2 linked regions of the Anolis sagrei genome follow. The protein of the gene in region 1 purifies or fractionates together with the protein of each later gene. This does not show direct contact. Links are inferred from orthologs where the notes say so. Each region holds a gene or a part of one and is shown on either strand. Other genes may lie near its edges. The genes, in order: NUAK2 and PPP1R12A.

Region 1 (9,455 bases):
GACACAACTGGACTTAATGTCAGGGGGGAACTTTTACCTTTAACCTTAATGATGATATCTAGATAACTAATCTATATCTAGATAAGCAATCATTGACCATTCTCACTGCATTCTATGTATTGTTTTCTGCAATGAGCTTTACTTCAATACCAACACCGTATAATTTTATTCAATTGATGGTGATGACATTTATTATCTCCAGGTATTAAATGGTCTATTACAGGCATAGGCAAACTCCAGCGCTCCACGTATTTTGGACTTCAACTCGCACAATTCCTAACAGGCTGTAGGAGTTGAAGTCCAAAACACCTGGAAGGCCAAAGTTTGCCCATGCCTGGTCTATTATATAAATATCACTGTCAGACCAAATCCATGCTGAACTAAATTAAAAATACAAGACTGATGGGTGATATAGGATGCTCCCATTGACCTTATTCAAACCCTATCAGGCACGGAATTAACTGGATTTACTTTCAGTTGAAACCTTATGTCCAGACAAATTTGCTCTGCACTGATTGTATTAGCGTGTTCTTGTGGTATGTTTTGCTCCTGCCAGAGCCCTTTGAAGTTCTGGGAAAATCCAGGTCTGGATGAGTAACCCTGGAGTTATCTTTTTCTTCAATCACTGCGATGATCTCACATGCCAAAGTCACGCTGAAGCTTTTGTTTTGACTGCTCTTGGAACTTTCCTCTTTAAGAACTGAAACCACAATGTGGCAACTGGCCGTCCTTCCATCTATTCTTAAGTTGCTCATAGAAACTTGGGAGGAAGGGGAAAATTGCACTCTGCAGAGTTTTTCTTTTTTAGTCTTTAGATTTTCAAAGAAATATATGCAATTCCCAAGACTTCCATTATCACAAAATGGTTAATACAAATAAGACAGGAAGGCAACTCTACAACACACACACATACAAACTGAGAAAGCTTTGTAGTTTTATCCTTCTCTATCCCAGAAGGACTATCTCAAAAGAAAGAGAAGATGTATAGAATAGTTTAATTTAGTCACCGAGCATACTTTTAATATTAAATACACATATAGGCTTTTAACCCAGCAAGAGTTTATTCAGCCACAATAAAATATCCCATGATCACAGGACACTTCAAATATTAATATTGACATCACATGCTCATTGAACTCACTGGGAATGTTTTTGAATAAGCATACATAGGAAATGTTCAACTAATAAAAGGTTGCTTTAGGACAGGTCTTTGTAGAAACAAAGAGCTTCACATAATAGCTTTCATATGATTCCTTAGTGTATAACATTTGGTTGTGATTAAAAGCAGACTAATAATCTTTTTTTAAAGATGTAAGTACTGTCCACATATGTCTGGACCAGATAAGTACAAATGTGTTATATAGCAACTCTCATTATTTTTATATAATTGGAGTTGTAGTCCAATACCTGTGGAAAGTGCCAGGTGAGGAGAAATAACTGCATTCATTGGGGAAAATGAATAGGTGAATAAGCATATAGCATGAGCCTAAATCTGTTTACTTAGAAGAAATCTTATTTTATTATTTTATTTACCATATTTATATCCCGCCCTTTTCACCCTGATGAGAACTCAGAGTGGCTTTATACATAGGCAACAATTCAATGCCATAAAAACAACATACAATTAAAATAAACATTTACATTACAACCAAAAATTAAAACATCTAAACATTACACCAGCTATTAAAACCATGCAATCCACTATCATAATCCGGAGCGACTCCAGTAGTCATTGCACATATTCTGTATCAATTTATTGCATTACAATTATTATCTGAAGGCTTGGCCCCAAAGCCACATCTTCATTTTCTTTCTGAAGGCCAGGGGGGAGGGGGCTGATCTAATATCACTGGGGAGGGAGTTCCACAGCCGAGGGGCCACCACTGAGAATGCCCTGTCTCTCGTCCCTACCAGTCGCACTTGTGAAGAAGGCGGTACCGAGAACAGGGCCTCCCCAGAAGATTTTAATCTCCATTATGGTTCATAGAGAGAGAGATGTTTGGACAGGAAAACTGGGCCGGAAGCGTTAGGGGTTTATTGGATAAAGCCAGCACTTTGAATTGTGCTCTGTAGCAGACTAGCAGCCAGTGGAGCTGACATAACAGGGGGGTTGTGTACTCTCCGTATGCTGCTCTAGTGAGGAATCTGGCTGTGGCCCATAGAACCACTTGAAGCTTCCAAACAGTCTTCAAGGGGAACCTCACATAGAGCGCATTGCAGTAGTCTAGTTGGGATGTGACAAGAGCATGGACCACCATGGCCAAGTCTGGCTTCTCAAGATATGGGCGCAGCTGGTGCACAAGTTTTAATTGTTCAAATGCTGCCCTGGCCACCCCCAAGACCTGGGGTTCCAGGCTCAGCTATGAATGCAAGAGAAATCTCAGGCTGTGAAACTGTGTCTTGCAGAAATCAACATAGTTACTTAAAGATGCTCAGAATCCTTATTGAGACAGTATTTCCAAAGAAATCAGTTGAACAAAGAAGTTATACAAATTATCATGTGAGTTCATTCATTAATCTGCTTTTCATGAATTCAAGGAAAAATGTGATATCCGTTTTATCTGGCATAAACCTTTCAGATATGAGAAATTTTATTTCAAATCCATGTGAATTGTGTATTGATGGTGGGATCTGGATTTTGTTGTTGCTGTATAGTACTTTAATGACTGAAGAGTGACGGGTCATAAGTTCGAATCCAGTGAGAGTATGGATGAGCTCCCTCTGTCAGCTCCAGCTCCCCATGTGGGGACATGAGAGAAGCCTCCCACAAGGATAATAAAACATCAAAACATCCGGGTGTCCCCTGGACAACGTCCTTGCAGACGACCAATTTTCTCACACTAGAAGCAACTTGCAGTTTCACAAGTAGCTTCTGACATGAAAAAAAAGTTTTTTAAATTTTTAAAAAATATTTAATGGTTTATTGACACATAGAAGGGTTTTTTGTACTCATAATTTGTATCTACGCTGTTTTAATTTGCATTGTGTCATATTGATTAGTGGTGCCTTGAGTCCCTGTATCAAAAGAAAGGCGGGATAAAAATAAAGTAAATAAATCATTAAATAAAAATTCTTGCAAGAGATATTAGTCTTACTAATATCTCAAGAATCACTCACAATGATTACCATCAAATTTCCCACTGAGTCCTCTTACATTAAGGGCAATAAATTGTGTGTAGCATCCCAACCCTGAGGAATGAGTGGCATGTGGATTTCTGCAGGGTAAATACTAGAACAAAATAGAAAAAACAAGTGGGATCTTACCTTTTAAAAGAAACAACAATGGCATGATAGCTTGATTAGATAGTGAGATGAGTCAAAATTAGAAACAAAGCCCTGCCTATTAGGAAGAACAAAAGCTTATGGAAAGAATGCGAAACCCATCTGCCATCACAAAGACAAGGGCAGCATGGAGTGTATCTACACCAGGCATGGGCCAACTTGGGCCCTCAGGTGTTTTGGAGTTCATCCCCCACCATTCCTAACAGCCTCAGGCCCTTTTCTTTTCCCCCTCAGCCACTTAAGGGGGGAAAAGGAAGGGGCCTGAGGCAGTTAGGAATGGTGGGAGTTGAAGTCCAAAACACCGGGAGGGCCGAAGTTGGCCCATGCCTGGTCCAGAGCAACATTCTCTATATATTCCAAGCAAGCAGCATGGATTATGCAGACACTGACTGCTAGAAATGGGAAAGTAATCTCCTGTTGGGCTGTCACCTACTTCCTGTCTAATCCTACACATGCCTGGTGTAGACATATCTCTGCTTTCAGGGTCCTAGTATGACATACAACACCTTGCAAAGTAGATCTTGTAAAAATACAAATCCTGTGATTCTATAGCAGTGCGCCATGGCAGCTAAAAGTGCTGTCAAACGGCATTAAATCCAGTGTATATAGATGAACTCCTAGGACCTCATCACACTAGGAAATGAATACACTTTAAATCTGCCTCCTGCAGAATTCTGGGGTTTGTAGTTTAGGGAGGCAGTTAAAGGCTACTCCCTAAAGGCTATTCCCTAAACTACAAACTCCAGAATTCTGCAGGAGGCAGCAACCAGATTTTAAATGGATTCATTCTGTAGTGCAGTGTTTCTCAACCTGAGGGTTGGGACCCTTGGCGGTGGGGGGGGGGGGTCGTGTGAAGCTGTCAGAGGGGTCACCAAAGACAATTGGAAAACACAGCATTTCTGTTGGTCATGTGGGTTCTGTGTAGGAAGATTGGCCCAATTCTATTATTGGTAGGGTTCAGAATGCTCTGATTGCAGGTGAACTATAAATCCCAGTGACTACAGCTCCCAAATGTCTTGGTCTATTTTTCCCAAACTCCACCAGCATTAACATTTGACCATATTAACTATTCATACCAAGTTTGGTCCAGATCCATCACTGTTTGAGTCCATGGTGCTCTCTGGATGTAGGTGAACTACAACTCCAGAACTCAAGGTCAATGCCCGCCAAACCCTTCCAGTATTTTCGGTTGGCCAGGGGAGTTCTGTGTGCCAAGATTGGTTCAATTCCATCATTGGTGGAGTTCAGAATGCTCTTTGATTGTAGGTTAACTATAAATCCCAGCAAATACAACTACCAAATGCCAAGGTCTATTTTCCCCTAACTCCACCAGTGTTCACATTTGGCCATATTGAGTATCTGTGCCAAATTTGGTCCAAATTGATCATCGTTTGAGTCCACAGTGCCCTCTGGATGTAGGTGAACTACAACTCCAGAACTCAAAGTCAATGCCCACCAAACCCTTCCAGTGTTTTTTGTTGGTCATGGAAGTTTTGTGTGCCAAGATTGGTCAAACCCTTCCAGTATTTTCTGTTGGACGTACGAGTTCTTTGCCCTGTTTGGTTCAATTCCATCGTTGGTGAAGTTCAGAATGTACTTTGATTGTAGGTGAACTATAAATCCCAGCAACTCCAACTCCCAATGTCAAGGTCTATTTCCCCCCAAACTCCACCAGTGTTCACATTCGGCCATATTGAGTATTTATGCGAAGTTTGGTTCAATTCCATTGTTTTTGGAATTCAGAATACTCTTTGATTGTAGGTAAACTATAAATCTCAGCAACTACAATTCCCAAATGACAAAATCAATCCACCCTCAACCCCAGCAGTATTCAATGTGGGCGTATTGGGTATTTGTGCCAAATTTGGTCCAGTGAATGAAAAATACATCCTGCATATCAGACATTTACATTGCAATTCAGTAGAAGTAGCAAGAGAAATAATGTTATGCTTGAGGGTCACCACAACATGAGGAACTGTATTAAGTGGTTGTGGTATTAGGAAGGTTGGGAGTGTCTAGTGTGAAGAGGTCCCTAGATGCTCAAAAAAAGGGAGTGATAGAGGGTGCCATTGGCTGCACCATTTCATCCACGGTCAGATGGAAGGTGCAAATCCCTCACTCAGGCTGGGATCCTAAAACAAATGAATGGGAATGCCCACAAAGAGAGGGTTTCCCCGCCCCTCCCTCGGCTTCTCCCACCTTGCAAAGGAGGAGGGGGGTCACGTGGGCCGCCGCAGCCAATGGCTGCAGAGAGGGCGGGCCCGCGGCGGGCAGGTTCCTCGCATTTATGGGCAGAGGATCCCCAGCCGGCTCATGCCTTGCCTTGCCTCGCGCGCTGTCCCCGCAGAGCCTGCCCTGCCTCCCTGCCTGCCAGCGGGCGATGGACGCCTCTCCTGCCGCCGCCCTCCCTCCGCCCGCCAAGGGCCCCGCGGCCAAGAGGCAAGCCGTGAAGCGGCACTACCACAAGCACAACCTCCGGCGCCACTACGAGTTCCTCGAGACGCTGGGCAAAGGCACCTACGGGAAGGTGAAGAAGGCCAGGGAGCGCTCCGGGAAACTGGTAAGGAAGGCGGGAAGGAGGGAGGGCGGGCTAGGGTAGGACCCCGCCACTCCGGTGTCTTGTTTAGGAGAGTTCTGTCCCGCTCCCCTCTCCTAACCAGAGACGTCCCACAGGGAATCTCGCAGCCCTCTGCATCTCCGCCCACAAGGAAAGAAATCCCCCCTCCATGCGGCACCAGCAGCCTCTGGGCAGTCTTGGAGCGCGCATCCTCTCCGCACCCGGATTGCAGCCCGAGAGAGAGAGAGAGAGGCAGGCTCAGGGTGCCTCTGTCCTGCACTGTCGGATGGATGCAGTTTGGCACCGCTTTGGCTGCCATGGCCCAGTGCTGAGGAATCCAGGCGAGGTGGGAGTTTGGAGAGGCACCAGCACGCTTTGGCAGAGAAGGCTAAAGACCTGGTAGTCAGAAGAAGAATAAAAAAATTATATATGTAATATAACATACTATTTATTGTTATTATTAAGCATATCCACCAGATGTTCCTCCACCAGATAATAGAACAGTACCATATATAATAGAACAGTTCTATCTATCTATCTATCTATCTATCTATCTATCTATCTATAATTAGGTCTTTATTATTAGATGTGTGTTATTATTATTAGGAATATAACATTATTATTACAAGGTGTATATACATATAATACTTTTTATACACACACACTATCTCACCCCAAATTCCATAGCCCCAAAATAATAGAACAGTACTATATATAGATAGATAGATAGCTATTAGGTCTTTATTGCATTACTATTATTAGGTGTGTATTGTTATTATTATTTGGACTTTATATAAAATTATATGTATATATAAGATGATTATTGCAGGATGCATATAATACATTTTATAGCATATTTATACACACACACACACACACACACACACACTATATCTATATATCACCCCAAATTCCATAGCCCCAAAATAATAGAAGAGTACCATGTGTGTGTGTGTGTGTGGTTTTTATTGCATTGCTGGTATTAGGTATGTATTATTATTATTAGGACTTTATATAAAATTATATATATATATATATATATATATATATAAGATTATTATTACAAGGTGTATATTATAGGATATTTATACACACACATTAATGTGTGTATGTGTGTTTCACCCCAAATTCCATAGGCCCAAGATAATAGAACAATAATTAGGTCTTCCTCCTCCCTCTATATAATACATTTATATACACATTACTATTACTAGGTGTGTATTATTATTACATCTCTCTCTATATATAATTATTATTACAAGGTGTATATGTATATAATACATTTTATAGGATATTTACACACACACACACACATCTCTCACCCCAAATTCCACAGGCCCAAGACCTGGCAGTTCAAGTGGGGACCTTTATGAGGGCTCATAAGATGGTGTCGGGAAAGATACCTGTAGTGGATGTCTTGGATTTGCCCCTGAGTAACAAGAGCTTGCATGGTGTAAGGGCTAAGAGTGTTGGGACCCTGCTCAGCCATGGAAACCCCCTGAGTCACTCTCTGTCATGCTCAATACTATAAAATTAATGCTGTTGGAATCCAATCCCAACTCTTATGGCTCAATGTCAAGGGATCATGGGCATTGTAGTTCTACATCTGTTGGGGGTGGTTTGAATGCGATGTTCCTGCTTCTTGGCGGGGGGTTGGACTGGATGGCCCATGAGATCTTTTCCAACTCTATGATTCTATGAGTGCTGGTGCCTCACTACAACTCCCAGGTTTCCATGGCTTTGAGCCATGGCAGTTCAAATGGCATCCAACTGCACTGATTCTGCAAATGCAAAGAGGAAGGCAAAGGTCTACTGAAGAGATCTTGCCAAGAAAACCCCACCATGGAAGCAGTGAGAATCGTGCATTATGGGGGTCTGTAGGAGGGAGGATCCCATTCACCATCCTTGCAGGGAAGGTTTTCAGGCGTAGGTGGGAAAGCAAAGGCATGGCTGACTGAAGAAATGACTTGCCTAAATACATGTTAATCATATTTAATGATACTGCAGAGTAATTGTTCCACCTCTCCGCAGGGAGGGAATCAAAAAAAGTGGTGCAAGAGGCTAATCTGCTGGCCAGAGCTGCCAAAGCATCCAGCACTGGTTGCATCTCTACTGTGGAATGAATGCAGTTGGTCACTGCTTTAGGGTTGTAGTTTGGTAAGGTACTAGAACTCTGGCTAAATATATTCTTAAACTACAACTCCCATGATTTTATACCATTGAGCTGTGGCAGTTAAGTGAGGCGCAATGGCATTAGTTCAACAGTGTAGAGCAGACATGTGCAAACTTGGGCCCTCCAGGTGTTTTGGACTTCAACTCCCACCATTCCTAACAGCCTCAGGCCCTTCCCTTTCCCCCCTCAGCCGCTTAAGCTGTTTGCCCATGCCTGGTGTAGAGACACCCTCTGGTCCTGGGTTCAATATTATAGGTTCTTCAGACATCAACCTCACTGTTTTCCTGGGGAAAGTGGGCCTTGTGTGCATGTTATCTGGTAACATTGGGGAGGAAAAGGCGTTATTTCTAATGAGAGATAGTGCTGAAAAGATAATAAAGGCTAGTTCAGGTCTCTGCACTGCAGGGAGCCTTGGCTCTGGATGCATTTATTTCTTCTGTATCTGCCAAAACTTGGAAACAAGGCTGCTTCACACTCACACAAGTGAGTGTGGTGATGCAAACTGCAGAGAGGCTGAAAAGTGATGTGATCTAAAGCAAAGTGAATGCTCAGACCTGGCTGGGATGGGGACAGGCCCGCGCAGGTTGAGGTGGCCTTGCCAAACTTCACCCGGCTTGCTGTGAATCATTCTGGCTGAGGAGGAAGAGTGGTGGGGATTAAAGATAATTAACTCAGAGCCAGACTGGTAAAACTTCTCAGCTTTCTTGCCAGGCTGACTTTCTCCCTTTGCTGATGGTGGCAAATTCACTGGCATGCATTTGGTTCCCCCCCCCCCCTTTTAGGGCAGTGTTTCTCAACCTGCGGGGAGGGGAGGGGGGGTCATGAAGGGGTGTCAGAGGGGTTGCCAGATCATCAGAAAACACAGTATTTTCTGTTGGTCATGGGGGTTCTGTGTGGGAAGTTTGGCCCAATTCTATCATTGGTGGGGTTCACAGTGATCACTGATCGTAAGTGAACTATAAATCCCAGCAACTACAACTCCCAAATGTCAAGGTCTATTTTCCCCAAACTCCACCAGTGTTCACATTTGGGCCAAGTTTGGTCCACAGTGTTCTCTGGATGTAGTTGAACTACAACTCCAAAAGTCAAGGTCAATTCCCACCAAACCCTTCCAGTATTTTTATGGTACTTTTGTGTGCCAAGTTTGATTCAATTCCATCGTTGATGGAGTTTAGAATGCTCTTTGATTGCAAGTGAACTATAAATGCCAGCAACTACAATTCCCAAAGGACAAAATCAATTCCTCCTCCCCCCAACCCCATCAGCACTCAAATTTGGGTATATCGGGTATTTGTGCCAAATTTGGTCCAGTGAATTAAAATAAATCCTGCATATCAGATATTTACATTCCATTTCATAACAGTAGCAAAATTACAGTTATGAAGTAGCAACAAAAAAAATTATGGTTGAGGGTGAACTGTATTAAGGGGTCGTGGCATAAGG
Region 2 (9,085 bases), on another chromosome or scaffold:
AGCCCTGAGCAATGAAATCAAGACATCAACTGGGGTGACACAAGGGTGCATTTTAGCCCCTTTTCTCTTTAACTTCTATATAAATGACATCGTAAACACATTATCCTCTGACAGTCTACATGGTCCTAAAGTTTTGTCCAGAACTATTAACATCCTGCTTTACGCTGATGACATGGTGATTATGGCAACATCTCCAGTGGGACTAAGAAGATCCCTGGCAAAATTCAATGTGTACTGTGAGCTAAATTCACTCACTATGAACAAGGATAAATCCAAAATTATAGTCTTTGGAAAAAACAGGAAACGGTACACGTGGTCCCTGAAAGGCATACATTTGGAACAAATTAATTGCTACAAATATCTAGGCATTATGTTCTCTTCGTCTGGTGCTTGGGCTAACCACATTGCTCATAGTATACAAAGAGCAACGAAAGCAGCAGGTTCCATTTATAAGCTGTACCATCATAGATACCCAGGCACAATCAGACCTGCCCTGGAAGTCTTTAAAACAAAAATAATGCCAGCACTTATATTTGGGGCTGAAATTTGGGGGCACATCAATCTGGCTAAGATTGAAGCCTTCCAAGTGAAGCAGCTTCGCATCTTCCTGGGCCTTTCCAGAACAACGCTGATGGCGGCAGTAAGGGCTGAGCTAGGAATACTCCCAGTAAAAGCTCAAATTCTAATGAGACAGTCTAATTACTGGTCAAAAGTAAACTCTATGGATCCCAGTAGACTTCCTCGCCTATGTCTAGAGGATCAAGTCCAGCATGACCAGAAGTCATCGTGGATGGCGGCTCTAAATAATGAGCTGGCTGGATTCGGTCTGCCTTTGCAATTTCTGGGTGTTCTGGGTCTGGGGGCAGGGCAAGTGCTCAAGCGGCGCATTAGGGATGTCTATGCACAGCTGGACCTAGAGAGCATAGGTAGGTCTTCAGCCACAAGGTTTTTAGCTTCCCACAAAAGGAATATTCATTTAGAGCACTACCTAACTATTCCACTTCCTCTACCCTTAAGAAGAACATATACTAGGGCTAGGTTTGAACAACTCGGTACTATGGTGCAAACCGGGCGTTACTGTAACATCCCAAGAAGTGAGAGATTCTGCGTCTGGGGAGAACAAACAGTGGAAGACATTGAACATTTCTTAATTGACTGTCCAGCATACACCGATCTGCGAGACAGATATTTACATCTAATATTATCCAACTGCAGGTCCCACAACAGAAATGATATTCTGACATCCCTCTTGCAAGGGCAGGAAAGATCCAACATAATCAGAGTAAGCCTTTTTATTCTGAAAGCCATTAAGAAAAGAGCAGATTTCCTGAAAGAAGAACCAGGAAAATAAGAGTCTGACTTATCTCCTTGTTGCCTTGTTTGTTTGTTTTTTACTCGTGTTTTACTTTGAAATGGTCATATGACTGATCAAATAAATTATTATTATTATTATTATTATTATTATTATTATTATTCACTGCAGTGCAATGCCCCCAAGACCCATTCCGGAGAGCCGCCCCAGAAGTATACCATGGTTGATGACATTGAAATCTACTGAGATGTCCAAGAGAACCAAAAAGGACACATTTCCCCATCAAGCTTTCTGCAGAGGTCCTCAATCAAAGTGACCTAAGTCATCTCCGTTATGTGACCAGGCCTAAAACCAGACAGTGACAAATCAAGATAATCGGTTTCATCCAAGAATGCCTGGAGCTGAAAAGCCACCAGCTGCTCTAGAACATTGCCCAACAAGGGGAGGTTAGATATGGGCCAGTAGTTATTTAATATCGAGGAGTCCAGGGAAATGTTAAGAAGGAAGTCATTTTATTCAGTCACTGCCATGGTAAGTTTTGAAGATGAAGGTACTCAGAAAAGACCCTCTCATGCCTACCTCAGCTATTCAGCAGTCCTCCAGGTCATTTCCACCAAACTTTCATTGCTGTAAAGTTCAAAATCATTCCCTTGAATTATACCCAGAAATAGCAATGGTCCTTTAGTACAGATGTGTACACTCATAGTACATAGGCAATCCTTGCCCACAGTCTGTTTTATTGTGTGTTAGTTGAGGCTCCTCAAGATCTCACACATATGTGACATTGGACTATTTTTTATGTTGGCTTTAGTAATACAAGCAATTTTAAACTGATTTTGATATTTAAAGCATAAAATGGCTTAGACACTGGGAAAGACAAGCATACCAGTATGAGTCAGCTTATTTTAAAAGGTTTGATGAGCACAATAAATCATCACCTTACATTAATATCTAGTTTTGCTCATTTAAACAATGTCAAATGTTTTTTCACAGTACTGCATTCTGTTTTCTTTCAATATGGGAGACAATTATAGCCGGTTTTTACACTTAGAAACAGGGCACAGCCATTACTTCTTTTTTATCAAAATATCAAGATGTCACTAAATCATTATTCTAATGTCTCTTTTTGCCTTTTAAAAAATTTACATATATGGTAAGCCCTCTTGATCCACAGATTCAACCATCAACAATTGGAAGATATTTTAAAGACCCCAAAAGAAAACCCTGGCCTTATCATTTTACATAAGGGATACCATTTTTCTATTCCATTGTATATAATGAGACTTGACTATCCGTTGATTTTGGTGTCCACAGGGAGTCCTGGAACCAACTCCGAGTGGATACCAAGGACCAACTATAAAAAGATATTCAAGAACATAATTTCTCATGCCTAGGCCCAGAAGTGTTCTGTATTTCAGATTTTAGTATACTTGCATCTCTCTCTCTCTAGTAGTTTGAGACTAAAATCTGAAGACAAAATTCATGTATGTTTCATATAATCTGCCCATCACATCAACAAGTGTCCTCTAGCAATCTAGGTTGTCTAGCATGACTGTAGTTAATTTCTGCTGGAAGTTCACCATACAGTTTGCTCTGGAGAAGCTAGAAATTCTTAGAGAAATGGTTCTTTAGAAAAAAGCTATTTACGGTTTCCCCATTTTCACACATACCAACTCCAGTGATGCAGAGGGCTCACTTAGATGCATCATTGGAGCAGAAGCTAGTGACAAGGTGTCCACAACTCTGAATGGGATTACACTGGATCAGTTTCAATTGGTGAATACTGCTGATGTGGACAAGCTGCGGAGGCAAGTAAGGATGACAACCTGCTTTCTTGATCCCTGCCTTTCTTAGCTGGTTGTCCAGAGCCCCTGGTGGCACAATGGGTTAAACCCTTGTGCCAGCAGGACTGCTGACTGACAGGTCGGCAGTTTGAATCCACGGAGCAGGGTGAACCCCCGTCTATCATGTGGGGACATGAAAGAAGCATCCTACAGGATGGTAGCAAATCCGAGTCCCCTGGGCAAGGTCCTTTCAGATGGCCAATTATATCACATCAGAAGCAACTTGCAGTTTCTCAAGTCGCTCCTGACACAAAGGAAAAAAAACACCCTGGTTGTCCAGGGAAGAGATGCAATTCAATCTCAAGTACAACAAATGATCAATGCATCTCTCTGAGAAAGGAATTTTCAGTCCTGTTTTAAAGAAGCAGTAGTTAGACCACTGCTGAAAAAGCCCTCCTTGGATAACCTTAATAGCTACAGACCAGTGTTTAACCCTGTCTCTGAAGATGCCAGCAAAATATCAGGAGAAAATGCTGCTAGAACATGGCCATACAGCCCGGAAACCACACAACACCCCAAAGTTATTATTATTATGATACCTTATATACATACATAGCCTAAAGGTAATTTTATACACATTTTAAAATAAGTTTGTGCATGAATTTTTAGTTTGCATATACTGAACCATTAGAAAACAAAGGTGTCTCGGCCATACAGAGGCAATTTCAGAATTTGGAGTAGATTTTGGCAAAGTGGTGCTTAAGCTGTATTATGAAAATCTTGAGACAATCCAAATCGTACAAATGGAATCCTAGCGTTGGAAGAGACATAAGCCATCTAGTCTAACCTCCTGCCATGCAGGTATAACACAATCAAAGAACTCCCAACAGATGGCCACCCATCCTCTGTTTAAAAGCCTTCAAAGAAGGAGCCTACTCTCCAATGTTGAAGAACTCTTATGGTTGAGAAGTTCATCTTCATGTTCAGGTGGAATCTTCTGACTCTTAGGAAGACAGCAAAACTCTAAAACTACCACAGAATTTGCTTGTTTTTTGTGCCAATGGGCTTTTCCTCTCGATTTCCTCAGAGGACTTCGCTCCCCCTCAAAAACAGCCTATTCTAAGAGAATCCAGGAAGCACGCGAGGAGAAGCTCCATTTCCACACGCCCTTATTCGGAGCTGAGGGAAAATAATAGATCAGCTCCGAGCCCCATCAAACTACAAAGGACTTAGGCAGACTATGACGGGGCACTCAGTTCCCGCTTCTTTCGACTATTTGGAGGCGTGCTCCTGAGTCTAAACTGAGGGGGCGTCACCACCATCGCCCCCTCCCTTCCTTCCTTTCAGCCTCAATCTCGTCAAGAAGTTAACTTGACTCGCGGGACTTTATATACATGAGGGAGATCTCGCGAGGTTACGTCTAGGAAGCCGGGCAAAGCCACGCCCCCACGCCCGCCTGAGGCGACTGGATGAGCCACTCAGGAGACCGACCGGGGCGCATGCGCAGACGAGGAAGGGAGGAGGGGGAGGCCGGATTGTAGTGGGAAGAGGCGAAGCAAGAGGGCGCCGGCTGAGAGGGTGCCGCGGTGCTTTGTGGGAGACAGGCGGTGCTCTGGCTTCTCCGCCTCTTTCTGGTCTTGGGTGCGGAAAGAGAGAGAGGGAGAGTGGGGGAAGGAAGGAAGGAAGGGAAGAGGAGAAGGGGACCGAGTACCGAGCGGGCAGGGCATGAAGATGGCGGACGCCAAGCAGAAGCGGAACGAGCAGCTGAAGCGCTGGATCGGCTCCGAGACCGACCAGGAGCCGCCCGTGGTCAAGCGCAAGAAGACCAAGGTGAAGTTCGACGACGGCGCCGTCTTCTTGGCCGCCTGCTCCAGCGGAGACACCGAGGAGGTGCTGCGGCTCCTGGAGCGCGGCGCCGACATCAACTACGCCAATGTGGACGGGCTCACCGCCCTGCACCAGGTCAGTCAGCCCGTCAGTCAGTCAGCCCGAGGCCTCGCCTGGCGGGGCCTAGCCTGGGGCGGCCCTGAGGCCTCCCTCACCTCTCCTCGGACGGGAGCCGAGAGGGGACATTCTTCCATCCCTGAGGCGAAGTGGCCTTCGCTGAGGGAAGGCTGGACTCTGCTGAAAGGTGGCTGAGGTGGGCGGCTAGGCCTCCCCCCTATCAAGCAGTCGGGATCTTCTTTCCCTTTTCCTCAGCGCTCTTGGGAACTGGAGGAAGAAATGAGGCTTATTTTCCAAGGGATGGGATCTGGGGGAAGGTTGAAGCGGCCTCCATCCCTCACCCAGGAAGGAGAGAGACCGTCTCCACCTCTTCACATAGGGGAGTGATGGTTTTCCACCCACTTCCAGGCTTCTGAATGGTTGCCACTTCCTGCCTTTAAAGTTTCCCAAATCTGTACACAGTGGGCCAAAAGTCACCTGATGTTTTAATAACTTTCGGAAAAGATTTCACACCTAATTTAATGTCATTGTGTTTCCTGTATCGTACAGTGCTGTGGCATTGTAAGCGACAAACACACAAAAAAGTTATTAAATATTGAAACCCCTTTGTGACTTTTGGCAGTGTGCATGCTGCCTCTTGTCCTTTCAAGAAAATACCTGCAATTTCTCTCACTTTCCTGTGTCCAACTCCCTTCTCCCCAACCGCCTCTGGTTTTTACTTTTTAAAAAAGTTTTTTGATAAAAGTTTCCTCTGTTTTGGGGGCTTGAACTCAAATCCAGTCTTTCCGCCCAGCATACATGACTTCTTCAAAGATGAAAAGTGGCTGTAAAATATTTAGTGTGGATGTCATTGCTTTCTTTGGTAAATCTCTGAAAACTGTTGTTTCGGGGAAGGTAAAATAGTTGTGACGCTTTTCTCAAAATGGATGTTTTGGGCACGTTAAACTTTTATAAGCATCTGATTGGAATCTCCGAATGTTAGCCAAATAAGGAAGGGATGTGGCAATCCGAAGATAATACGGGTTTGCTTGGATGGATCTAGGTTCTGCTAATAGGCCAGGAGCAATAACAATGTTAAGCTCACTGAGTATCAGAAAAGCAAGTATAATCACTTTGACAGTTTGAGTTTTGTTTTGAACGGCAGATGTCCTGGTAGTTCAACAAAGGTGGAGTAATTAGGATGTATTTTTGAATCAGGTAGAAATTCTCTTCCGAGTAGACTGCATAGTTAAGTCCTTTAGTAATCTCTTAAGCATAGATTTCATTTTAGTATTTATTAAAAATTCAAGATGATGAAACAAGCATGAGGGAAGCATTCCTGTTTGTGTTTGTTCAAGATAGCAAAGTTGGCTTACAAGTTATGTATATTTTGTTTTCATTGTTGTGTAAGATGTATAACCAATCTAGTCTACTGAATGAAATATGCTGTTCTTTAGACAATAGGCTTAAAGATATCAAGCATGTCTTATTAAAGGATGAATTGTACTAAGAAGAAATCAAAAAATAATTAAAACTGCCTTTTTAATGGCAAAATGTGGTAAAAGTAATTTCTCTAAAGGCTGACTGGCAAACCTCTGCTGTGTTTCATTACCCTAGAGAAGGGTTGTTGTTTTTTTTTGCTGAGACCATATTTTACTAGGCTACATGTTAATTTATTCACAGGTTCTAGAAGAACCAACATTTATAGAATTTCTTATAATGACAGTAAGAAGATGCTGCTGTAATGGTGAAGATTTCTCTTTAGCCAGCAAATTTCTGTAATAGAATTTCAATGTGTCAGATTTGACTATGTTAGCTCTCTTTTCTGTACCACTGGTGTAATGTCTGTTTAACTATATTACTTTTTAAGTTGTTAGCAGCTTTGTGTCCCAACTGGGAAAAAGTGGGGTACAAATATAACAGCAACATATTTGGCTTTGATACCATAAACAATCCTGGCAATTCTTCTGCTAGCATGTAGATAACTGGAAAGGACAACCCGAAGCTTGGATGACTTACCTTATTTATCAACAAGTCTCATCAACTTTAGTTGAAGTCTACAAGGATATGTAAGATTATAATTTTTGAAAAATGAGAATTGCTTACACTGTAGGGTTAGTAAAGAATGAATTTGCTACTATATCCTATGTGTGACTGTTTTTAAAGTGTAATAAGTGAACTGTGACTCTGTAGTTCTGTTTACCAGTCTTCACTATCTTGGTGTCATATACATGTTTTTGCACTAAAATTGGAGTCACCATAGTCAGTCTGAAGAAGGTAATTTAAAGCTGCATAGAATTGTTTCAAACTTTGAAACTAATAATCTTAGAGTTGCTTGATTAAACTTCTTGTGTATCTAGGATTTGAAAATGAGGAACTACATGGCACAGTGGGGGGGGGGGGGGCTTGCAGCTTTGGATGTTATGTAAAATGAATGTCATGCCATTTAATATCAACAAAATAATATCAGTGCCTGCAGCTTTGTGGGCCCAGTGCGGTTTTCTTAAGTGCCAGCATCCAGCAATTTATTTAATAGGTTACACTAAATTAAACTTGCAGTTGATTAGGTCATGGTAGTTTTTTTTTTTTTTTGTACAGTCACCACAGTTGAAGGAGGTACATATCAGTCCTAGTAAGTTGTGTAATTTAACTCAGATAGTGGGAGGGAAATGCTACTTCTACATCATTTCTGTCCTGCTGGTGTGAGTCTGGCAGGGCTTTGGGTGAGGTGGCTCCTCTGCTTTATTTATTCAGATTATTTATACACTGCTTTTCAGCCACACATGCTTCCAGAGTTTCTTACAAATTATTTATTTGACAGTTCCCTGCCCTCAGGCTTACAGTCTAAATAAGATATGACACAAGGAAGAGAGAATGTTACAGTTCACACCCTACCTGTACAGGATATTGTTCTCTGAATTCTGAGTTTACGCCTTCATATACATAAAGCTAAAATATACTTAATGTAAGGATATGGCATTCAACTAGTGCTTGAATCCTTAATAATATTAATGACTTCTTTTAATGACAACTTAAATTTGGTTGCTGCAACTGCTGACCAAATATATATATGAAGAGTGGACCACTTTCTGTTTGTGCATATCAAATTGAGTTCTGTTTGACAGTACAATCAACAGAAATGGATACAGTAAAATATTTAATTTTCTTAGGGGAAAAGAGCCATAATTTTATTCAGTAAACTGCAATATGTGAATTGGTGCTTTAAGAGAAAGCAGAAATGTGGCTTTCAGTTGGGAATTGTTATTTTTAGTTTTTTCTTTCTGTACCATAACAACATGGTTTTGTTTTTAGAGATAACTTTTGATCTTATCTAAATGGAAAAAATCCAAAGTACTGCTTTCACATAGTTGATGTAAAGTATAATTGGAAGAAGAGCCAACATAGTTGTTGACTGGTGGCAGTTCTAGTTTCGAATTTTGGTGTTTCTAAAGTAGAAGGTTCTTGTGAACAAGTTATACTCAGCATCTGACTTGTCAGTCTTTTTGAGCCAAACTAAGCAAAGCTAGTCCAGAGCTATGGATTATTTTTTGAAACAAACACCCGCCTTTCATGTACAAATAAATCAAACTTTTCTTGATATATCTTGGTATATCTTGTTATCAGAGCCCCCATATGGAAAGAGAGCATTCAGTATACTTGTGCCTTTAATGGTTGAGGTTACTATTATTATGAAGGAAAATAAATGAGGAAAGCTGTAAATCATGTCTGAATGTATTTATAGAAACAGATTGCCTCATATCTATGTGTCTATTGTGCAGATTAGCTCCAGCAAATCTCACTAATCAGAAGTAGTAATAAAGCAGTCTCAAGCAACCATCTGAACTGCTGGGCCTCCTGGCTGACCTCTAGCCTGAGACCTTTCTGTAGAATAGAGACTGTATTCTTGTGCAGTTAAGCTAGAACTGTGTGAAAATGAGGGACAGATTTCCTTTCTTCTACTTGACATGGTCTATTGTATCAAGAACTGCAAGTCCCAGAGTTCCTTGTACATTAGCAGCAGGAAAGATTGATGTCTGGTTGGAAGGGCAAAGCAAAGCACCATAAG

What was found.
Region 2: the proteins of NUAK2 (region 1) and PPP1R12A purify together in Homo sapiens (affinity purification with mass spectrometry; 3 studies listed by BioGRID and IntAct, counting the BioPlex papers as one, with this or other methods). This does not show direct contact. The link is inferred for Anolis sagrei from reciprocal best matches to the Homo sapiens genes NUAK2 and PPP1R12A.

Annotation. Positions count from the first base shown.
Region 1 is NC_090024.1:194,150,018-194,159,472, reverse strand, and holds the start of NUAK2 (NUAK family SNF1-like kinase 2), read left to right. Parts: upstream 1-5,580; 5' UTR 5,581-5,662; coding exon 5,663-5,842; intron 5,843-9,455. UniProt on the Homo sapiens protein: Stress-activated kinase involved in tolerance to glucose starvation. Induces cell-cell detachment by increasing F-actin conversion to G-actin. Expression is induced by CD95 or TNF-alpha, via NF-kappa-B.
Region 2 is NC_090025.1:148,567,228-148,576,312, reverse strand, and holds the start of PPP1R12A (protein phosphatase 1 regulatory subunit 12A), read left to right. Parts: upstream 1-4,609; 5' UTR 4,610-4,821; coding exon 4,822-5,058; intron 5,059-9,085. UniProt on the Homo sapiens protein: Key regulator of protein phosphatase 1C (PPP1C). Mediates binding to myosin. As part of the PPP1C complex, involved in dephosphorylation of PLK1. Capable of inhibiting HIF1AN-dependent suppression of HIF1A activity.